6 linked regions of the Mus musculus genome follow. The protein of the gene in region 4 binds, or shares a complex with, the protein of the main gene of each other region. Links are inferred from orthologs where the notes say so. Each region holds a gene or a part of one and is shown on either strand. Other genes may lie near its edges.

What was found.
Region 1: Chd4 (region 4) and Cdk2ap2 share a complex: the UniProt entries of both Homo sapiens proteins name them as parts of the nucleosome remodeling and deacetylase (NuRD) repressor complex. The link is inferred for Mus musculus from reciprocal best matches to the Homo sapiens genes CHD4 and CDK2AP2.
Region 2: Chd4 (region 4) and Mta3 share a complex: the UniProt entries of both Homo sapiens proteins name them as parts of the nucleosome remodeling and deacetylase (NuRD) repressor complex. The link is inferred for Mus musculus from reciprocal best matches to the Homo sapiens genes CHD4 and MTA3.
Region 3: Chd4 (region 4) and Mta1 share a complex: the UniProt entries of both Homo sapiens proteins name them as parts of the nucleosome remodeling and deacetylase (NuRD) repressor complex. The link is inferred for Mus musculus from reciprocal best matches to the Homo sapiens genes CHD4 and MTA1.
Region 5: Chd4 (region 4) and Hdac2 share a complex: the UniProt entries of both Homo sapiens proteins name them as parts of the nucleosome remodeling and deacetylase (NuRD) repressor complex. The link is inferred for Mus musculus from reciprocal best matches to the Homo sapiens genes CHD4 and HDAC2.
Region 6: Chd4 (region 4) and Cdk2ap1 share a complex: the UniProt entries of both Homo sapiens proteins name them as parts of the nucleosome remodeling and deacetylase (NuRD) repressor complex. The link is inferred for Mus musculus from reciprocal best matches to the Homo sapiens genes CHD4 and CDK2AP1.

Annotation. Positions count from the first base shown.
Region 1 is NC_000085.6:4,095,882-4,099,517, reverse strand, and holds Cdk2ap2 (cyclin-dependent kinase 2-associated protein 2), read right to left. Parts: upstream 2,168-3,636; 5' UTR 2,093-2,167; coding exon 2,011-2,092; exon of another isoform or gene 1,807-2,010; coding exon of another isoform or gene 1,785-1,806; intron 1,702-1,784; coding exon 1,601-1,701; intron 1,514-1,600; coding exon 1,381-1,513; intron 1,021-1,380; coding exon 953-1,020; 3' UTR 501-952; downstream 1-500. UniProt on the Homo sapiens protein: Acts as a component of the histone deacetylase NuRD complex which participates in the remodeling of chromatin.
Region 2 is NC_000083.6:83,789,684-83,793,183, reverse strand, and holds part of Mta3 (metastasis-associated protein MTA3), read right to left. Parts: intron 1,532-3,500; coding exon 1,383-1,531; intron 643-1,382; coding exon 420-642; coding exon of another isoform or gene 397-419; exon of another isoform or gene 307-396; intron 1-306. UniProt on the Homo sapiens protein: Acts as a component of the histone deacetylase NuRD complex which participates in the remodeling of chromatin.
Region 3 is NC_000078.6:113,122,278-113,125,777, reverse strand, and holds part of Mta1 (metastasis-associated protein MTA1), read right to left. Parts: intron 2,662-3,500; coding exon 2,544-2,661; intron 1-2,543. UniProt on the Homo sapiens protein: Transcriptional coregulator which can act as both a transcriptional corepressor and coactivator. Acts as a component of the histone deacetylase NuRD complex which participates in the remodeling of chromatin.
Region 4 is NC_000072.6:125,094,837-125,098,780, forward strand, and holds the start of Chd4 (chromodomain-helicase-DNA-binding protein 4), read left to right. Parts: upstream 1-1,144; 5' UTR 1,145-1,424; intron 1,425-2,187; exon of another isoform or gene 2,188-2,250; 5' UTR 2,251-2,329; coding exon 2,330-2,429; intron 2,430-3,944. UniProt on the Homo sapiens protein: ATP-dependent chromatin-remodeling factor that binds and distorts nucleosomal DNA. Acts as a component of the histone deacetylase NuRD complex which participates in the remodeling of chromatin.
Region 5 is NC_000076.6:36,988,044-36,991,543, forward strand, and holds part of Hdac2 (histone deacetylase 2), read left to right. Parts: intron 1-36; coding exon 37-111; intron 112-1,106; coding exon 1,107-1,245; intron 1,246-3,500. UniProt on the Homo sapiens protein: Histone deacetylase that catalyzes the deacetylation of lysine residues on the N-terminal part of the core histones (H2A, H2B, H3 and H4).
Region 6 is NC_000071.6:124,351,829-124,355,862, forward strand, and holds the start of Cdk2ap1 (cyclin-dependent kinase 2-associated protein 1), read right to left. Parts: upstream 2,801-4,034; 5' UTR 2,544-2,800; coding exon 2,489-2,543; intron 1-2,488. UniProt on the Homo sapiens protein: Inhibitor of cyclin-dependent kinase CDK2. Also acts as a component of the histone deacetylase NuRD complex which participates in the remodeling of chromatin.

The sequences.
Region 1 (3,636 bases), on a different chromosome or scaffold from region 4:
CCACACCCAGCCTTGTGGAAGTTGTCAGGACAGTGGATAGCAGCATCAAGCCAAGGTGCTGGGGGTGGGGGGGAAGGAGCCTCTAACTGCCTCCCTTAGGAGTCAGGGACCCGGTGTATTTAGAGCCTTCCAAGGATGGTTTTAAAGCGGAGCTGGTGTAGGGGCATTAGGACGTTCACGGGAGAGGCTTAAGTGAACTGGTATTTCCACCCTGCCAGGCATGCCTGCCAATCTACAGGAAGGGCCCTTTAGGCTCCGGCTGTCCAATAGTGCCTCCAGCTGTGAAGGCAGCCAAGCCCTACGCTGCCCCCTGGTGGCACCTCCTTATGCAGACATCATTGGTGTTCTGTCTGGCCTTCAGCTGCAAGGCGCAGAGCTGGAGGTAGCAATGGACAAGATGGGAAGGCAAAGCTCGGTTCAAGCGCCCTTCCCAGTTCCTGCTCTGCCCTTCCCCTCTGCCCACTCAGGCTTCCCCAGAGGAACCACACACAGAAAGGCTGAGAGAATGACTCCAAAGCATCTTTTATTTATACAAAAAGGACATATTTAGTAAAAGACACACCAAAAAAAGAGTCGGCTGTGGCCCCAGAGATGAGGCAGGAAGGTCTTCTGCACTCCTGTTGAAGAGGCAGGAGGTGGCCTGGGCTAAGAGTTAAGGAGTAAGTGCTGTGTGGTGGGGCCACAGAGAGGAGCAAGCTCCCGTCAGATCAGCACTGTGAGCAGGTCATGGAAGGGACTCCCAGTGGCCTCCCAGCACTCCCACAGAGGGAGGAGACCAGTTTGTACAGCCAACTGGACGAAGATCTGCTACCTGGTTCCTGGAGGGTGCCCACTAAGGGACACAGGACAGGAAGCCCAGGATAGGAAGCAACTTGGGGCGCGAAGGCCAGGGAGAAGCAGGCGCTCTGCAGTGGCCAGAAAGGTCCCGGCGAGGAGGTCAAGGTGCTTCCTGTTACGTGCGGGCATTGCGTTCTGTCTCTGCCAAGCACTCTCTGACTAGTGCCCGAGCGTGGATGATGCCTGGGGTGCGGTGAGGATGGGGAAGTAATAAACAGGGCCCCAGAAACAGTCCACAGCCACCCTTCAGAGCAGACACTCCCCCACCGCTCCATGGTTCAGCAAGAGCACCTCTAATCTAATGAGGATGGATGGGATTAAGGGTTGGCTAATCCGAGTTCCCAGGCACCTTCTTGGAAACAGACTCATTTGAAAATGGAAAAGTTCATTTAAAACCCCTCCTTAGGTACACGTTCTGTTCCAATCGAGGCTGGCCCAAATGTCCTGTCCTGACTCTAGATATCCTCCATCCTTACTGAACTGTCTTAAAGTTCAGTGTCTGTGTCCTGGGCAGAGCAAGGGCAGGCCTGTGGCTTCACTTACCTCTCTTCAGGCGCTCCATGGCACTCTTGCTACCAGCATAGGTGGGCCGGATCTCTTTGCCCATCTCCTCTATGACAGACAGCAGGTCCGTGTAGGTGCTCTGAGAGCCCTGGGAACCAGGTGGCTTCATCGCCTGTGTCAAAAGAAAATACAGACGTGATCTCAGACCCCGAGGGGATCTCCTGTCCTCAGCCATAAGCAAGCTCTTGGCCACACTCACCTGTACATACCCCATGGAGGGCGGACCAAAGTCGTTAAACAGCGGTCTGAAAGGTGCGGCAGCTCCTGGCACTGAGCCCGATGGCGATGGGACACTCCCGGCTGCAACGACACCAGCAAGAGGTCAGAGTGTGACAAGGGCCTCGTCACAGATTTCCAAGCCCAGGACTGTTCCCTTGACTAACCTCCAACGGCATGCTTCTTCATTCCACTCTGAACAACTTCGGAGACACACTCCTCCCCCCTGCGCTCCACCTACAAGCTCTACGTGACCACGCCCACTTCTCAGGCCAGCAAACTGAGGCTGAGCCAGGCTCGTCTAGCAGGCCCCGGATTGCAAAACTCGAGCGGTTTCTCTCCAAGACCTCGACTGCCCGGACAAGGCGAACAAGGATGGAGTTGGAGCCTCACCTGTAGGGACCGGGGTGCCTGGCCCGGGGGTGCTGGAGCCCGGGGTACTGCTGGGGGCGGGCGCGATAGGTTTGTAGGACATCCCAACTCCTCAGTGCGGCGGCCGCCAGCCGGCCGCTCCTCTGGGGTTGGCTGTCCGGCAGCTCAGCCGCACTCTGATTGGCAAGCGAGCTGCACGCCCCTGGTAAATAGAGCTCCGGCCGGAAGGGTGGGCGGGCACGATCGGTCCTCACTCTCGATTGGCGCGCTCAGCTGTCACTCGAGCCTCCTCATTGGCTGAATCTTGCCCCCGCAGGGCGCAACCGCTGCCGATTGGCCTCCACCTTCCGGACCTCGCACCTGTCTGCCCCGGATTGGGCGGTGACAGTCGTCCTCCTCAATTGGCGAGTTCGGGGCCCGGGGCCGGCGCGCTTTCAATCCGATTAGTCCCGAGGTCCAAGAGGCGGGGCCTCGGCAGCGGGCCAGTCTGGTCCCCGCGGTTTGCTCCGGTGGTGTGTGGCGGGCCGCCGAACACACTTCGTCCTCACCGCTTCGCGACTTCCCTCCGCTCAGAACTCCCAAGGCCACGGCTCCCACAGTGTGAGCACTCCGCCCTACCCCGAGCGTTTTACGTCACCTTTCACTGGTTCCGTGTCCCCCCCCCTTCGGCTGTGCGCATGTGCGCGCCTCAGGCCTGTATTTGTTCCCATGGCAACGGTTCCCTCACCAAAGTCATTACCAAGCTCCTTCTCTGGATTGGTTTGAATCTTCGGTCTAGGCAGGTGGGTCCAAGGCAGCCAACGACGCTGCTCGACACTGAACCCTAAGTCCCCTACTCTCTCCACAGACAATGATAGAGCATCATAGATCAAGAATTGCGTTAGGTCAAGTCAGGACCCTGGTCAAGACCCTTGGCTGGAATCTCAACACCTCATTAATGGTTTCCTCCTGGACTCTTTTTGGCGGGTGGGATGAGATTGAGACAAGGTCTCAAGTAGCCCAGTCAGAACTCGAACTCTCCGGGTAGGGGAGGGTGACCTTGAATTCCTGATGCTCTTGTCTCGGAAATGCTAAAGGATTACAGTCACACGCCAGTTTCTTGCCCTAATAGGTTTCCGTTTTCTCATGAAACATGAAGACAGTAATACCTGGAAAGTAAACTTGGAAGTGGGTAGAGAAATAGAGATGAGAGCCAGCCCCATATGGGTTGAAGCATGGTTGATTATTGTTCTGACGTCATTAATGAAACTCCCACCTGGGTCTGGCCATCTAGTTCCTATTTCCTTGAAATCAATTCACTTTAAAATTAAAATAAAACTATTTTATGTATACGAGTGTTTTGTCTGCATATATGTCTGCAGAACTGCTGCTTTAGCCCTCAACTCACTTTTTAAAAAAGCGACTGCAGAGATGGCTTAGCAGGTAAGAGGACAGGCTGCTCCTCCAGAGGACCCAGGTTAGAATTCTAAGCATTTACATAAAGTGCCTCAGAACCATCTGTAACTGCATTTCCAGGGGGCCCAATATCTCTTTCTGTTCTCAGTGGGCACCTAGCAAGCAGGTAGTACACAAACGTACAGTCAGAGAAAACACCCTAGACTTTTTTTTTTTTTTTTTTTCTGAGAAAGGGTCTCACTATCTAGCTCT
Region 2 (3,500 bases), on a different chromosome or scaffold from region 4:
ATTCCTAACTAGTAGAAATTAGCAAATTTTATTAAAACCTCATGAACCCTTAAGACTGGGTTGTGATGTCTCCTTAGAGCTTTTATTGAGTTTACACTGCCACGCTACCAAATTGGTAGACGTGCATCACTTAAGGTCCCTCTGGGCAACTGTGCCACAAAAGCCCGCTCGGTCCGGACACCTCCCCCACCTTCTGATTAGTGCTACTCTGAAAATTTACAGGGATTTTGATGTTGTTTTTCAGGGTGGCATGATATAAATGGCAGCAGACAAGAACAATGTTTAAAAAAAAAAAAAAACAAAGGCTGTACACAAGAACTTATGTTTATTGCAAACAAACAAACAAAAAGAGAGAGCGAGGGAGAGAGAGGATGGCAAGGAGCGGAACGCGGAAGGTTAAGAATTGAAAAGCGTCTTACATTCTGCCCTAATGGCAGCATAATTAATAGCAACAAACGGCCGTCTCGCTGCCTGCCGCAGCCGCAGGGTGCTTTTGCAGACCTGACGAGCAATTTTTGTGAAATACGTAGTACGAAGGAAGAAAGCTTGGCGGGTCTTCACTGCAGACTTGGGGCTTCCGGTGTTCCGGACCGGCATGCCCTGCAAGGCCTGCCGGGACATGTGGCTTCTTGCGCGCGGGTCCTGTAATTGTGAAAAACAATGGTATTTTCAGAAGAGAACTTGCCAAAGCACACAGCCACGTGGAAGCATCTGTCACTCAGGAACCTGCCCCTCGAGGGAAACGCAGTGTGCCCGACTGGGAAGAACGCAGGGAGTGCGCAGGGCAGGGGTGGAACTCAGTCTCAGATCATAGGCACCATTGGTGAGAAGCTGCCCGATCGATCAATCGATTGATCGAGTGGCCCTGTGGGATGTTTATTATTTGTAAGGAATCCTAAGATTCCGGACTTGCCTTCCTCTGGTAGACATCCTTCATCTACACGGATTTACCAAGGCCATCTTTCAACTATGGTTCACTCAAGACTGGGCCCTTTTCGTCCCTCCACAATAACCAAGGAAAGAAAAGGCTTAATTTGTGTTTGCTATGTTATATAATAAAGTGTTCTCATCAGTATCTAAAGGTTACAAGTTGTTTTTAAAAACAAGACAATTTGTAAGCTCTCCTCTCAGGCAAACACCTCCCACACACACTATCCTTTTTTTTCCCCCCTGAATAATCTCAAAAGACCAATATTTTGAATACCTGGGGAAAAATTCCCATTTTTCCCGGCTCTGGTGTTCACACCCACTGTGAGTATACAGCACTAAATCCCAGTTTTGCTCATATTTGTAAGTAGTTCTGTGTTGCATTTCTGCTTCCAAGGAAGAGGCCAATAGCCAGGAAATGTGGCATTTTCAACCTGCAGACCCCTCCCACATACCTCTGCAGTCGGGCTGGGAGACTTCTCTTCGTCTGACTGGGTAGGCATTTTCAGACCTCCATACTTTTTCCAATACAGCCAACAGGTCGCGCAGAGTCTACACTGCATGTTAGGTGGGCCCCAGGAATACCACTGATGAGACTGTGTGGCTAAAGACAGAGGGGAAGGGACCAGGAAATCCATGATCTCAAATTAATGGAACCTCAGAGACACCCTGAAGCCACGGCTCCCTTACAGTGCATTGCATGGGCCTGTCTACAGCCAGTTCCTAAGGCTGTAGGCCAAGCATGAACACACACAAGATGTGCGAGTGCGGTTTTCAGTACCCCGAAGATACTAAGTTGCTTGTTTCCAGCACGCATCAAATGTTTGTCACATCTATTGAGAGGAGCCACATCTTGACTTATGCCTCAGGCTGCTGAGACTTTATTTTGTTAATTAAAATTTACTTCATTATATACATGTCTAGAAATAAGTCTTTCCATGGATATGACTATTACTCTGAAGCTCCTTGGCAGTGTGGAAAACCTGAACAGAGTGGTTTAGAAGCTCTCTTAAGGATTGCTACGGTCCTGAAGAGAGGACTCACTGCTAAGTCAGGAGAGCCAGGTAAAATCAGAAACCTGCCTGCTGTTTCTTTCCTCGGGAAACAAAATCTCACTTTAGAATTTCTTCCTGAATACAGAAAGTCCCTATCATGTGAGCAGAGCACAGCTCCTATGCACCATGCTTAGTAAGGCCTGACCCCAGCTGGTTTACTGTTTGGCTGGACACACAGCCTGTGTCAGCTTCTGCCGCTCACACTTGGGTCCCACATGAAAAGCTTCCCGAAGCGGAGCCAAAGAGCGATGGGAACCGAGGAGGTGCAACACAGTTAAACATGCAGGCCCGGACTACTACACAGAGCCTGTTTGAACGGTTGTCCCTGCCTGTAAGTCAGCAAGCACAGGAGGGTGTCCACTAAGAACACCTCACAAACCAGCATGCAGAGCTGGACTACCGCTAGCACTAGACCTGGGCTGGGCATGGAAAGCCCCTGGGTCCAGTCCCCTACCCACACCAAAAGAGCCAGAAAATAGACTACTACACGTAGTTGTAGTTGCCTTTAGCCAATTCAGAATAACTTCCATCATGTGCCGCTCTTGGAAAATTCCTTTCAAGCCAGGCCAAACCCCTTTCCCCTTTTAACTTAAAACATATAATAAAGTTGGCTTTTTCCAGGCAGATTTTGCACCAACATTTTCATTATATGCATGTGTCATGAGTACAGGTGCCCTAGAAGGCCAAAGGTGCCGGGCACACCTGGGGCTAAAGTGACAGTTGATTGTGTGCCCCTGATGTGAGTGCTGGCAACCACACTCAGGCCCTCTGCAAGATCAGGGCACCCGCTGGAGAGTGGTGAGAGTGGAGCGTGGCAGGCATGGCTCTGGCAGGCCGTACCCTTCTCCCTCATTCCCTCTGCCTTACTGAAAACCGTTAGACTACATCCCTAAAGCTAACCACAAGGCCTATTTCCTTACTTGGCCACTTCCTCCTCCTTAGGCTGACTACCAAGGTCCAGCAATCAAAGTCTCTGCAATCCAAAGCCCCCTTTGGCTCATCTAATTAACATGCCCAATTAAAATTAGTCACCTCACTCTAACACTAAGACTCCCCTTGTACCTTTATAAGCCTCCATTTGCCTATGCGCTCGTCCGTCTCCTCTCTCTGCAGAGGCCTCAATGAGACAGACACCCCTCCCCCCGCCTCCTCTCCTTCCTCCTCATCCTCCATCTCCTATGTTTGTCTCTTATTCCCTGTCCTCTGTCCTTCTGGGGCAACTGGCTCTCCTTTGTGTGAGAACCTGATCCTGGGCTGATACTTTTCCTTAGACTCTTTACCCCTGAGCTAGCTCTCTAGTCCCCAACTTGACTGTTGACATCCAGATGAGGGCACCAAGGACACATATACATACGTCCACCTGCACACGTGTATACCCACATAGGAATGTGCACACATAGAAGAAGAAATAGAGTTGGGCTGTGGTGGCACATGTCTGTGATCCAATCTCTCCAGAGGATGCTGAGGCAAGGGGGTGGCGAGTTGGAGGCCAGCCTGTGCTCGAGGGAGACCCTGCCT
Region 3 (3,500 bases), on a different chromosome or scaffold from region 4:
TCACTTTGAAATTTCCAATACAGTGAATGAAGGCAAGCATTCCATGTCATCATTCAAAATGCACACACTGGGGCGGAGACATGGCTCAGCCGTCAAGAGCATACATTGCTCTTCCAAAGGTCTTAAGTTCCAATTTCCAGTACTCCTGTCTACCAGAGCTCACAAACATTAGTATCTCCAGCTCTAAGAGATGCAACACTTCTGGTCTTGTCCAGACAGGAGGTGTGTACACACACACACACACACACACACACACACACACACACACACACACACACATATTCTAAAAGTTTAATTTTTTAAATTACACAGGGTTTCTCTGTGTAGCCCTGGCTGTCCTGGAACTCTCTCTGTAGACCAGGCTGTCCTTGAACTCAGAACTCCGCCTGCCTCTGCCTCCCAAGTGCTGGGATTGAAGGCATGTGCCACCACGCCCGGCTAAAAGCTTAATTTGAAGACAGATACCATGGGGAAGCCGCTGACCTTTGTGTCGAAAGGCTGCAGAGACTAGGAAGGAGGAGGACACTGTGGTAGCTGGAGACTCCCCTGAGGTCCTGCTTTTTTTCACAGGCAGGCCCCACAGACAAAGCATAGCTTTCTTGGGGGTTCTCCTAGCACTAGCCAATGAGCCCACACATGCCTGGGACACCTGGAGCAGCTTGATTCTGAGAAACAGAGGCTGAAAGCAAGGTCCTCTGACCTTTGAGACCTCTCCCACCTCTCTGGTCCCTGTGTAAGTTCATGTGACTGTGACAGCCTCGGCTGGCCTCTGACACTTCCCTCTGACACTTCCCTTCAGTCAGGCTGAGAAAGCGGATACCGTGGCTTCAGAGTTAGGAGGCTGGACAGAGTTCAGGCCTGTCTACAGAGCTTTAAGGCTGGGGCTATTTGGGGAATAAGCTGAACAGGCAGCAACTGGCTGGCTCTGGCTATGAGGTTGTGCATGGGCATCTGGAGGCCCAGGTGTTAGAGACAGGGTAACGAGGCTCAAGCACGGAACAGAAGTCAGAAAAGACCAGCCTCCCATACACAGCTCAGAGGGACGCACCTACTCCAACAGCCAGGCCACACCCAGCTGCCACCCAAGTGGGCTTAGCACCTCATTCTGAGGTCCAACAAACACCAGAAAATCAAACAGAAACCACAAGGCAAAGGGAAGGGCATGGAAAACGCAGGAAACAGGTGCTACGTCGGGCCAGCCACCCTGAAGGCAGCACACTGTCCTAGCATATGACAAGCTGTAGCTGAGGCCCCCAAAACAACCAAACAGCAATTGCCTCAGAGACTTGGTGCACGGAAGTGGTGCTCTCTGAGCCCCCAGTCCCAGCTAAGCCAACAGTTCCAGAAATGCGGAGCCTGACTGGGTCAGAGGCTGAGTGCTTCCTTAGGAGACAGAGCATCTGGAGCCCATCAGAGCATTTTGCCAGGGATGCTGAGGCGAGATGTGGAAGGGACCTGCACGCCTTGGATGCCAGGTCTGAGCCAGCTCATGTCAATCTGCTCGCACTTCCCACCAGGCCTGACAACCTGAGTTTGATCTCTGCTGCCACCTAGGATAGACTCAATTCTTGTAGGGCATTCCTGACTAAACCCCTACATGAATGAATGAATGAATGAATGAATGAATGAATGAATGAATGAATGAATGAAAGGAAGGAAGGAAGGAAGGAAGGAAGGAAGGAAGGAAGGAAGGAAGGAAGGAAGAAAGGAAGGAAGGAAGACAGACAGACAGACAGACATTTTAACCCCCCGAATGGGGAGGGGCTGGTGAGATGACTCAGTACGCTAAGGTGCTTGCTGCTAAGCCTGACAACCTGAGTTCAGCCTCCAGAACCACGTGAGAGGACAGAACCAACTCTACAAATTGTCCTCTGACCTCCAAAGTACACTAAGGACTTGAAGGACAAATTGGATTCCTGAGTCTCACATTGGGGAATGAAAAACCAGACTCTACACACACACACACACACACACACACACACCATGAATGTAGAATTATAATGAGCCAGGTGTGATGGTTTGCCAAAGAGGAAGGCAAGTTCAAGGTCAGTTTGGGCTATATAAATAAATGAGACCCTGTCTCAAAAAACATGGGATGGAGCTGGGGAAATGGCTCAGTGGTTAACAGCACTGACTGCTTTCCCAGGAAACCTGGGCTCACTCACCTCCTAGCCCCCACAGGGAGGCTCACAACCTTCTCTAACCCTAATGCCTTCTGACTTCCATAGACACTGCACACAAGTGGTGCCCTGACATACATGCAGGCAAAAGAATAAAATAAGTAAGGAACAAGGGTGGGAATGTGGCACGTGGCAGAATACTTTCCTAGCAGAAACAGTATAAAATCAAACTCATAATGAGCTACCAAAGGGAAATCCGAGGTCAAGGAGCCACAGGGCTCAACAGGCGGCTCTAGGGTTTGAGCCTTGCGGCTGGATGCCAATGTCCACTAGGACGGAGGCTTGGAGGAGCTGAAGCCTAGGTAAAAGCTACAAGTACTACCTCCAGCCTCCTCCATGCTGCTGGCCCAGCCTGAACCTCACCTTCTTTCAGCAAGTCAGTGATGTCAGCCTGGTACCGGTTTCCTACACGAATTTCCCCTTTATCAGCCAGGAGGGTCTTCTGCTGTGGGTCGTAGACTAGAGAGTAGAAGAAGAAATCCTGAAAAATACCACATACAAGACAGAGGTGTCAGACAAGTGTTCTCTTCTAGCTGCATCCAACAAGCCAGTCCAGTTCTGAGGGTGAGGGATGTGGTCCTGCCTGTCCAGGACCCAGGGCAGAAGCCCTGCAGCAACAGAAGTGAAGTAAGGACTAGGTGAGTCCTCATCAAACTGCTAGAGGGTACTTGCCTGGTGAGGGGCTCTCAAGGCTGCTGTGTACAGCCCCCTCACAAAAGCCACTGTCTTTCTGTCACTGCAACCTTTTGAAACTCAGCTAATGAAGGCCAGGCACAGTGGCACACTCCCTTAACCCCAGCAGTTGAGAATCAGAAACAAGCAGAGTTCTGTGAGTGAGGCCAGCCTGGTCTACATAGTGCGCTCCAAGACAGCCAGGGCTACATGAGAACCTGTCTCAAACATCACCACTACCCCTGGGGGATGGGGGGAGGGGAGCAGGGAAATCAACTTATGAGCGCAAAAAAAAAAAAAAAAACATGGTATCTAGGAATAAATTCTCCATGCTGAAGGCAGGCAAGCACATGAAGAGGCACCAAGCACAGCGCTACAGACCATACCAGGCTGCATCCTCATGGCTGACTCTGATGCTCTGTGCCTGGCCAGCAGGCTGACACTCACACAACACAGCCTTTCTTAATCTTTCCTGTGTCAGGCTTTAAGCCCAGCCTCACTCCATACAATCAGCATGGTGTTAGTTCTGAGTAGTGGTCTCCTGGGCCCAAGGTCACCCTCCTCCCTCCCGTCACCACCTGGGCCCTCAGTGCTCCCTGTTCCTGGGTCTATTGCCCAGCTCATCCACAGCTCCTTGGCAGCTGGCCC
Region 4 (3,944 bases):
GTTTGAGTTTACACAAACATTCAAAGCTGGAGGGAGGTAAGTATCTAGAACATACCTGGATTTGGTGGGGTTTGTTGGGGCTCGAGGTTGGCTCTTGGTTCCTGAGTGTCTGCAAATGATGAGCTAGGAAGTCTGGGGGTCCTGAACTTTGAGAGCCCAGAATGCTCCTATTGCCCAGGAAGGGACTAAAGTGTGTGCTAGTGGGGACAGGGCAGTTAGCAGTTTGCCACACCCTCTCTGCTCTAGTTGGAAGAGCCTGACAACTTCTAGAGGTGGGGGAGGTTGTGACAATTAGGGGATGTCTGGCCAGACCTGTGTGCGGTGATGGAGTGTAGCAGAAGTATTATGGGATGTGGCACTGGGTTGTGTTGGGACAATTATGGTATCGTGGGCTTTTTGAAATTATGGGATGGGAGAGTAGATAGAGTAAATGATAGGACATTTTCCCAGTGTTAGTGGAGGAGATTTAGATGTCCATTTGTGGGGTGACAGCAGAGCTGCTGATCATTAGTGAGTATCTCTTTGCTAGGAGGAATGGTAATTTATGGACCATGGAGCTAGAAAGAGACTGGGAAGGCTGTGGGTGGTAAAGTGAGCATCTAGAATCTCAACCCTAGTGCAGGGACTGAGGGCAGCTCTGGGGGGGTTGGATATTATGGGATATCAGTATAGAAAGTGGGAGACTGATTATTACGGGATCCGTGTGGGAGGAGGCCCAGTGTCCGTTGTTGTAGTATGGGGTGGGTGAGTTTCTGACAATCATGGGATGTCAAACTGGGGGTGGTTATTATGGGATGTCGGTGGGGGATGGGTTGAATATTATGGGATATGAGGCTGAAGTGCTGGGAGGGGTGCTTATTATGGGATGGCCAAGGGGAGGGAGGGGTAATGAGTTATTATGGGATGTTAGCAGTAAGGCCAAGAGTGAAGAAGTTGGCAAAGAGTGGTTATTATGGGTTATCTAAGGGAGGGGGAGCAGGTTTTAGTTTGTAAAAGATCTGCACTATATGTCTGTAGCCCCGGGCACATATATGCATAGAGTGTGGGGGGCGGGGTGTGTGTATGTGGGGTGTCCGTGTGTATTATGGGATGGCCAGGAGGTGGGCGGTTGCCCAGGTGACGCGCGCGCGCGCTCGACGGGGGCGTGGCCAATGGTTGCCTGAGCGACGAGGGGGCGGGGGTTGCCCGGGAGACCTAAAGAGGAGGGTGGCGGTAGTGGAGGGGGGGGTTGGAGTTGGTTGAGGTTATTATGGGCTGTCCGTGGGGGGCGGGGCCTGTGCGGTGGGATTTCCCGGCCGGTGTTTCGGGCCCTTTAAGAGGCGACGCCGGAGCCGGAGCCATTTTCCCCCCTTCGGCCGCGGCGAGGAGGAGCTGGAGCGGGAGTGACACCGGCGAGACCCAGCGCGACCTGAGGCGGCTCTAGGGTGAGGAGCGCGCGAGGCAACGGGAGAGACATCTCTCTCAGCCCGACGTCGTCCCGGGGGTCATTCCTTCACCTGTCCCTTCTTCAGGCGTCCCGGGGCCCGCGGGCCGTCCCCTCTCCAGGGAGCCGACCCTTCTTCCCCGGAGGCGGCCGGGTTACCTCCAGACGGCGCCCTGCCCTGAGGGAGTCCTGCTCCCCGCCCCCCCCCCCTCCTGGGCTCGGCCTCCCACAATGCCGGGCGAGCGCCTGCCCGCCCGCCCCTCGCCCTTTGCTCGCTAGCCCCCCGGGACACGTGGCCCGGCCCCCTTCCCGGTGGGTGCTCGCTTTCCTCCGGCGTCCCGACTCTTCGGGACCCCGGAGCGCCCGAGCCTCCACGCCCCCTGGTCCCCGCCGTTCCGGAAGAGAACCTGAGTTGTCCCAGAGGACAGCCTTTGGAGAGCTGCCCTGTCTGGGGACTGGCCCCTCCCCGGGCGCAGAGGAGCGCCCCCCCACTCCCAAGTGACCTTGTGTCCCCGAGCACCGGCCGCCTCCCCTGACCCTCTCCGCGCCTCCCCACTCGAACCCCACTCCCCAGGCACTCCTGGCTCAGGCCAGGCTAGCTTCTTCCTTCCCCTCCATGCACCAGCCTGCCCTCGGGGGCGTCATTCCCTCTTCTTGGGGGCTCCTGCTGGGGAGCCGGCTCACGGGCTGTCCCCGAGGAGTGTGGAACTAAGTTCAGCCTGAGTGGTTCGGGTGCTTGGCTAGGGTGGTAGGGCAGGGGGGCGGAAAGAGCGGGTGGGGGAGGGGGACTGCGCGTCACTCACTGTTCTCCCCCCTCCCCCGCACAGTGACTCGGGCCAGTGCAGAGGGCCCCAGGCCGCAGGCAGGAGCAGCTGGGCCAATTCCCTGGCCGGGGAACGGAAGGGGATGGCGTCGGGCCTGGGCTCCCCGTCCCCCTGCTCAGCGGGCAGTGAGGAGGAGGATATGGACGCACTTCTGAACAACAGCCTGCCCCCACCCCATCCAGGTAACATCTTCCCGGAGGGCCCAGGGCAGGAAGATGTTTGATCTTTCCTCGAGACTCCAGTGAGGCTGCGTTCGCGCGCTGCTTGTCCCTGTGCAGAACCCAGGGTGGAGGGCATCCGAAGGGAGTGGTTCTTTTCTGCGGAGCTCTTGTGTGCTGGGGGGTGCTGGGGGAGGTGGAAGCCATGTGCCTCTTGGGCACCACGGACCCAGATGCAAGCTGGCTTCACTCAAGGCTGTCTGGAATGCTCCGCAGTCCCCGGTTGAGGGAGCTCTCTGGGTTAGCTTTACCTCGTGCAGGTTCTTGGAGGAATGCAGGTGGTTCCGACTCTGGTGGTGACATGGTGGGGTGCGGTGGGGATTTCTGTTGCGGGAGCCCTGCCAGGCATCTGGGATCCCGCGGTTGTTCCCTGGAGAAGAAAGCGAGAGTGTTGGTTGCTTTCTGTCCCGATCTCTTACGGGTTCTCTGTGCTGTTTCAAGAGTGTAAAGTTTGAATCTCACTCTTTATCAGATCTGTAGAACTTTGTTAGTCAGATTGTTGGGATTTTTTTGAGTGGAGAAGGATGGAGGGCTAGGAGAGGCAGCATGCAGTAGCCTAGTGAGGGCAGAGGGAGGGAATTGGCCCTTGGTGTGGACATAATCTTGGATCTTTACTAGGGGCTTCCGCCACTCTGAGGTAGCTTGGGGTCTGGTCTGGATTGGTGGCGTGAGGTGTTTGTGTGGGTGTGTTAGGGTTTGCACTGTGTTTTGGGGTTGCTCCCTGGACTGGCTAAACCCGTATTATTATAACCATCTTGCCTGAGTGCCTGCCCTCAAGTGATGGCTGATGTCATGCTTGGAAGTGGATGTCTTTCTCTTGTCTCCTTATTTAGAGCCCCCTTAGTTAAGGCACCTATTGGCTTGACTCCCCCACATTCATTGCAAGGTCGGTATCTTCTCTGCGTCCACGTAGTTTCCTACACCGTGGAGCCCGGCTGTCCTGGTTACTACCCTGTGAAGCCTGGCTGTCCTGTTTTTTGTTCCTTACGGCATGGCTCTCACTTCTGCCTTTTCCTGAGCCCCAACTGGAGGGTGAGATATCCAGAAGAAATCATTTTCAAATTTGTCATTTAAGAGAGCCATTATTCTTGCTGCTGAGTCCTAGGCTGCTGAGATAAGGGACTTAGATCTGTGTCTGATCACTGAGGTGTAGGCCTGCGGAGCTCTGCCTTTGCGAGGGTGAGGTGGGTAAGGAGGAAGACTTACTTTTCCTTCCTTGTCTTTATGAGAGGCTGGGTGATGCTGTCTGACCAGCGTTGCTTCCCATCTTAGCCATAACCCCTTGCTTGAAGGTCTGGGGCTTCCCTCCCAAGTGGGAGCACTGCAGGCTCTCAGTGTGAACTCTGCCCCAATCTGTAGCATGACCCAGTTTTTCCTCTGGCCACACCCAGTTCTGCCCCTTTCCCAAATCTCCCTCTATGGCATGCAGCGTGATGGGCCTGAGGAGTTGGAGGGCTGTGTGTGGGTGGAAAGGGGCCC
Region 5 (3,500 bases), on a different chromosome or scaffold from region 4:
TAATAGATTGACTTTAATGAAGTTCACCTTCCACAGTTAACGTCGGAGAAGATTGTCCGGTGTTTGATGGACTCTTTGAGTTTTGTCAGCTCTCCACGGGTGGTTCAGTTGGTGAGTATCCTAAATCAGTCAGCCTCAAGAGGATCTGAAGGGGTTAGAGTGTCTGTAGGTTTTGTCTAAAGCGGAAGTTGTAATGGTAGTAAGGTTGTGTTGGCTTGATTTTGCTGTATCACCCAGGTGGGCCTCCGTCTCAGCCACCTCTGTGGCTACCTCCCAAATGCTTGCTTACAGACATGTGCTATCATTCCAACTTAATGAGTACCCAAGCTGTCTTGTAGTTCACTGTGGGGCCCGGGCTGACCTTGATATTGTGGAAATCCTCCCCTGGAGCCTCTCAATCATTGGGATTAGAGGCTTGGAATATTATGATATTGCTATTCACTCTTCTGTTAATGTAACAAAACCTGCGGTAACTTTTAAAAGAATGGTTTATCTTGGTTCACAGTTTGGGAGCTTAACTGGCCCTGTCCTTGGGGACTGTGATAGCACATTATGGTATGTGCATTTGGGAGAAGGCCAGTTTACCTCATGGCCGCTGAATGGAGAAAAGAGGATTCCAGTATCCCTTTCAAGCAAGATCAGATCTCCAGTAAACTAAAATCAGATCTTGGCTCTTAGAGAGTCCACCCCCTTCCAGTGGTACCATACTGGTGACTAAATGTTCCCTGGGGTTCTTAGAAGGCATTTCAGGTTCAAAGTAGCAAGTATAATTGTCTTTAAAATGCCAGTGTTTAACAGTTTTTACTTGAACACAGTCTTTAAGCTTGTGTCTTTTTACTCAGAGACCTTTTTCTCCTCTTCTTTCTTCCGCCATTTTTACTAAGACTTTGCATGTGCACTGTGATTTAGTTGGGTAAACTGTAGGAAAATGGTTATCTGAGGAAAGCTTAGGCTCCGAAGTTATAATCCTTTGCTTTTGAATGCCAAACCTTTTGTGCTTACACATGGCATATTTAATAGGGCTTCGCTTATATGTATTTTGTGTAACCTGATTTTTTAAAATTCTGAGTATTTTATAAATAACATAGCATGTATCTCCTTCTTAGCTGGGGCTGTGAAATTAAACCGGCAACAAACTGATATGGCTGTCAATTGGGCTGGAGGACTACATCATGCCAAGAAGTCAGAAGCATCAGGGTTCTGCTATGTTAATGATATTGTGCTTGCCATCCTCGAATTACTTAAGTAAGTTAATTCAAACTGAATTTTCCCTGTGATCAGATCTCTTAATTGAAAGAAAAAAATGATTTTAAAGACTATCAAATAAATGGTAATAGATTAATGCTGAGTCTTCCAGGGTTTGTTGTGAGCCCCTGCAGAAGTGTGAGAAATAGACCACTACAGTGGGAGAGCGAGAGGGCAGACAGTGCCGTGCCTGAGACTGCCGGTAAATGGTCTCTGCTCATTTAGGTTTGCAGTCGTCTAAGCTGATTAAAAATGGCTGCTAGAGATCCGGAAATGTGAATGCTAAAGTAACTTGAAGTCAAGCCTTTGCAACTTGTGTTATAAGAAGTTTGTCTGGCCACTTAGTAGCGTGGCTGACCCCAGTTCTCTCATCCATCCTCTACACAGACACACAGAACACATAGATAATAGACACACAGTGATGCCCAACTGCTGAAGGGGTTTTGGAAGTTATCCTTCACTGCTTTTTCAGAAGTGTGAAGGTCCTTAGGAGTGTGGACACTTGTGAAACTAGCTTATTTTCCACTGTTAGCTATAATGCTGCAGTGAGTTGTATTTCAGCTTTGACTGCAGCTGTGTTCTGTGGGCTTTGAGAGTGATGCTCTTGCCCCGCATGTACATCCCAAGAGTTAACTTCCTGACCTTAAATAAACAGCAGCTAAGTGCTGTCAGTGTAACATATCTGACTCCCCCAACCGACAGAAACCGGAAATCTCCTTCATTGACTTGAAGCTTCTTCCACTGGCTTCAGTTCTAGAGATCTGCTGCTTTTTCCTTCATAGCTTAGTCTTGAGTAAGCCCAGTTCTGTACAGTTCTTCACCTGGTAAATCTGAACATGATTTGATTGGTTTGGTAAGCAGCTCTCTTTGCTCATCTAAACACATTGGGCATTTGATCATGTTTGATTTTGAACTTTATGAAGAAGTTCTGCTATGATGAAGCCCGCTCGCTGTTTGCACTATTTTAGATTTTCTTAGTGTTGCTTTTCTGTGCCTTGAGAACATAAATGCCTGGGTTTGATCATGCCAGCTTACGTTGTATGAGCACAGTTACAGCATCTTTAAATAATAAACAAAATGTTTTAAGTCAGCCACAGTGACAAGATAATCATTTACTACCTTAAATGGTGAATTTAAATTTCATTTTGTATGTATTGGTGTTTTGCCTGCGTGTGTGTCTATGCACCACATGTGTGCAGTGCCCATGGAGGACAGAAGAGGCCGGTAGATCCCCAGGAACTGCTGTAAGAGATGGTTGTGAGTCACCATGTGGGTGCTGGGGATTTAACCTGGATTCTCTAGAAGGCAGCCAGTGCTCCTAACTACTAGTCCAACTTTCCAACACCAGTAGCTTTTTTTAAATACAGTTTTTTTCTATTTGCACTTTGACATAGGGATGGAACTGATGTCATTCTATGGTGGAGTGACTACAGAAGCTCATTTGAGTAGTTGCTGTGACTGGTGGTGTACAGAGCATCAGGGAATGATGAAGGCACTTGTGATCTGTCACAGTCATGAGGTCTTAGTATGCTGTAGATGATGTGTAAAATGTGCTCATCTCGCTGTAAAAGGTGTTTATGGATATGGACATTGGACTGTCTCAGAACTGTCATGTTATAAAATACTCTGAGTTTTGTTTTATTCTTGGACCATTGGAAACCGGGGAGTGGGGTGGCACACCGGCATGCCAGAGGCAGGTAGGTTTGAGATGAGCCTGGATGAGCAGCTATCAAAATAACCACAGGGAAAAGGAAACAACCTATAGTTCTGCTCACTCCAAAGCTGTTGAAAGAATAAAAATAATAACAGCACTATGTTGGTTACAGTTGCCCATAGATTATTTTATAATGCTGAAATTTTTTTAATTGATTTATTTTCACTTTATGTCATTTGTGTTTTGTTTACACATGTGTCTGTGTATGTGTTGGATTACCTGGAACTGGAGTTACAGGTAACTGTGAGCCTGCTGTGTGGGTGCTGGGGACTGAACCTGCGGCCTCTGGAAGAGCAGCCAGTACTGCCAACTGTTGAGCCATCTCCAGCCCTCCCTCCCTCCCTCCATGTTGAGTTGTGTTGTTTGTTTGTTTGAGATAGGGTTCCTCTGTGTAGCCATGGGTCTCCTAGAATTTTCTCTGTAGACCAGGCTGACCTCAGACTCAAGAGACCCACCTGCCTGTACCTCCTGATGGCTGTGATGAAAGGTGTATGTCACTAAGCCCAACAATTCTGAAATTGTGTAATGTAGCCCTTGGCAT
Region 6 (4,034 bases), on a different chromosome or scaffold from region 4:
TTTTCTCCAGGACTTGGGGGTCTGTCCCAGCAGTGCCACTTGGCTGTAGGACCAGCCAAGGCTCTTCCAGGCCTCAGTTTCTCTACTTGTTTGAGGCCATATTTCCCAATGGAAGGGTTAAAGGCTTTGGGAATGCCCTTAGAGGAGTGGGGATACAGAAAGAATGAGAAGTACCCCCCATACTGGTGGAGGACCTCAAGCCTATTTTCCACCACCCCGGAGGAGTGGAGATAAACCTGACTTTGCGTCAAAGCCAGCACCATATGCAGTATTAGGGAAGGTGTCTGTCTCCCCCACCCCCCGGGAGGGATTCAGGGTGGAAGGGGGCTCCTCCGCCCATCATGCCCCCTTCTTCCGGAAGACACCGGCACCTGGGCTGAAGGAGGCCAGGGAGGCGGTTCCACGTCAGCTCAGCCGGTGTGGAGCATCTCAGACAATGAGCGCAGTGTGAGAGAGCTGAGAGGGCTTGGCAGAGGCCAGGAAGCTCCTGGGGCCAGGCTCAGCTCCCCGCCCCCATGCCAGACAAAGAGCGGCCTGGGCCTGGGGAGCTGGCGGCCTTCCCGCCACTTGGGGCGCCCTGGGGGGGGGGGGCTCTCGGGCGGGGGAAGGCGGGGGCTTTGTCTAACTCCGCCACTGCCACTGCCGGCCAGGCCGCAGCTTGGCAACTCAGTGAGCAGGAGGCAGGCCTGGAGGGCGTGAGAGATGATGACAGGGAAGGCGGAGGAGCCACTGTGAGAGTCCATCTTGGATGCAGATGGCAGGGGAGAGAAGGGCTTTCTGCAAAGTAATACCGGCAAGCGGGCGGGCCCCCACCAAAATGCCGAACACCTGGAGACCCCCGCACGCATCCTGGCATTCCCCATTGGCAAAATAACTACAGCTGAATACAGGTGCTAGCAAGCCCAGAACAGGGCTTCAGAGTCCCAGGGGCGGTCTGCACTGGGACCCACACCCCAAAAGGTCCCCAGTGTAAGACACACGGGAAACTAGCCCAGATCAAGCCTACGTCTCTGGTCTCCCTAGGGCTGGCAACGCAACCTACTGCCCTTCCATCCCAAACACTGACCAAGAAGACTGAGAGGCAAAAATCATATCTGACGACAAATCCTGTCACCCAAAGGGAGTGAAACCATTTGAAAAGATACAGTGACTGCATGCTCTTGGGGGGGGGGGGTCTTTGTGCCCACGTGCTAGCGTTTCAACTCTCCCAGGCTGGCACCCTAAATCTCAACCTTTTCCAAACCCCAAAGAGCAGAGAAGTGGTTTAAAACACACGTCCAGAGCTTTTCCAGGTCCCTCTGAGGGTTTCTGGAGTTCTGGAATCAACATTTGGACACAAGACCTCCAACTTGGAAGTGCCAACGCGGGTGGGATTTTTAACACACAGCGACCATAACCAACTTCTACCCCCAACTCCTCCCAAAGGCCTTATCCCTCCTGGTCCCCACTACTTGGCATCTGTTGGGGCATCAGACTACTTGGGGTGGTCTGCTCACAGCCAAATGTCTGGGAGGAGAGGGTACTGGAATTGGACACAAAGCCAGTCACCTCTGGAAGTCAGTTTCACATCCCTATTCCGGGTTCCCTTGGGGTCCGGGGCTAGCCCCCAGCCACAGCCCAAAGCTGCCTGGGAACTTTGCAAGAGTTTCCTCGGCGGCGCCCAGGCCCGGAGGGGAAGGGAGACCAGGTCCACTTGGCTTGCGCAGCGCGGCCCTGCGGGGACGTCCCCACGTGGGAGATCTGAGATGGGGACCCCCGGGACCGGCGAGCCGCAGCATGCCGCCCACAGAACCCACGAGGCCGGGGCACTGCAACTTCTTCCAAGGGGTCTCCCGAGGGCCGGGGGAAGGAACCCGGGAGTCGCTCTCATCGCCAGGAAGCGGCCCCTGCCCACCGGGCCCGCCGCCCGGAACCCTGGCCAGATTCCCTCCCGGGCCCGCGGCCGCCCTGCACCCGGCTCGGCCCCAGCCTGTCCCGCTCCGCCGACCCTCCGAGCCCCGCTCCTTGCTCACTGCGTCGCCCGCCTCCCGCCGGCAGGGGCCCTCGCCGAGCCGCCCAAAAAGCCTAAGGGAAGGGGAAAGAAAAAGGGGGGGAGCTGGGGGGGGGGAGCCTTCCTCGCTCGGCTGCCCGCGTCCTCGCTTCCCCGCCATCCGCGGCCGCCCCGCCGCTCACACCGGGAGCCCCCGGCCGCTGCCCCGCCGAGCTCCGGGCGCACCGCGAACTTTGGCAGCGCAGCGGAGGCGGCGGAATCATGGCGGCGGCGGCGCGGCTGAGTCGGCGGCGGTGGCGTTCCCGCTGCCCCGGCCCGGGACACCTCCTTCCCTCCGCCCCGTTCCCTCGCGCCACCATCCTCGGCCAGCACGCCCGCCCAAGGCACCGCGCGCCTCCGGGGAGCCCCGGGCCGCGGCCCGGAGCGCGAGCCCCCAACTTGGCGACACTTGCGGCGCGGGGCGGCGCGCGCGGCCCGCGCTCGCTCGCTCTCACTCACCGGCGTTGAGGGCGGCGGCGGGCATGTGCGCGGTCAAGTTCGGCTTGTACGACATCCCCGCGGGCGGCGGGCGCGCCGGGCAGAGCCGGGCCAGGCCGCGAGCGCGCCGGCGAGGCCGAGGCCGAGGCCCGGGCCGGGCGGCCCCACGTCCCCGCAGCCGTCCGAGCGCCCGCCGGGAGCCCGCGCACTTTTTGTTGTCGCCGGCTCGGGCCGCGCCGGCAAATATGGCCGTCCCTCACCCTGCCGCCGCCGCCGCCGCCGCCGCCGCAGTAGATCACCCATACATCGGGCGCGCGGCGCAGGGGCGGCCGCAAACTTTGAGCCCAGCCGGTCGGTGCTGGGCCGGGGCCGGACCGGGAGGGGGCGGCGGGCGTCGAGGGGGCGGCTCCTCTCGCGGCCGCGCCCCGCGCTGCGCCGCCGCCCGCAACTTGCCAAAGTTTGGGGGGCTGCGGTCCCCGCGGCGCCCCCGCCGCGCCCCGGCCTCCCGCGCGCCGCTCATTGGCCCGCGCCTTCCTCTTTTCTTAAACAGCCAGGGAGGATGGAAGAAGTACTTTTTTTTTTCCTTCTTCTTCTTCTCAGTGTCTCTTGACTGTGGGGGCAGGGATGGAAAATTACCTGGAGAAAATGGTGGCGATTGGGGTGATTTGGTTTTGGTTTTTTTGGGTTTCTTTTTCTTTTTGGTTTTGGTTTTTTTTGTTGTTTTTTGTTTTTTTGTTTTTTTTTTAATTCACGGAAATCATTCCAGATGCCCACGTCTGGCTCTATCCCAGAATTAGAATAACCCATTCTTGACATTTATTTCGAGACGGGGAAAAAAAAAATGTCATGTCTCTGCTTGGATTAAGTGAGTTTGTTTTTTTTTTTTTTTAACCCTTTGGGAACCCAAGACGCCTTTGAGACTGACAAAAGCTGGATGGAGAGACAACGACACCTCCACTAGAAAATTCGCTCTTGCATCCGTCATGACGTTTGTCACACGAACTCTTTGGAATATTTCAACCGAGCACCTACTGTGTGCCCGACACGGTTTTTATAGGCTAAGGAGGCAAGAGTGAACTTGGCAAAGTTTCGACTCCCCGGAGTTTGCACTCCATTTTTTTTTTTTTTTTTGGACCCCTCTTCCCCTCCCCACCCCACCCTATCCCGCCCCACACACGCCCCCGCCCATCTCTAAACTGACTGAAACGTCACAACCAAACGTATTTGGGATGTGATGAATAACCTTCCAAAGGTACTATATTTTGGAGTTCTGCCTGCATAGTAATGCTCATCACATTACATAAAACGCCCACCTTTTTCTGTTGTTTTTAATCGCCATGGTTTGCAGGTTTTTTTTTTTTTTAATTAGTCATATTTAGACATCATCTGTGGATCTGGTGACAACGGCGTCAGCCTCTCCGCTAGAGAAAAAAAGGGGACCACCACCGGGGTCTTAATCCCCCCTTCTTTGGGACGAAAGGTGCAGAAGAGGGGACCTCCTCTTCCACCCTCCCCCACCACCACCAGCAGCACCCTTAGGCTCCTTCTGGCAAACTGCTTCCTGGTG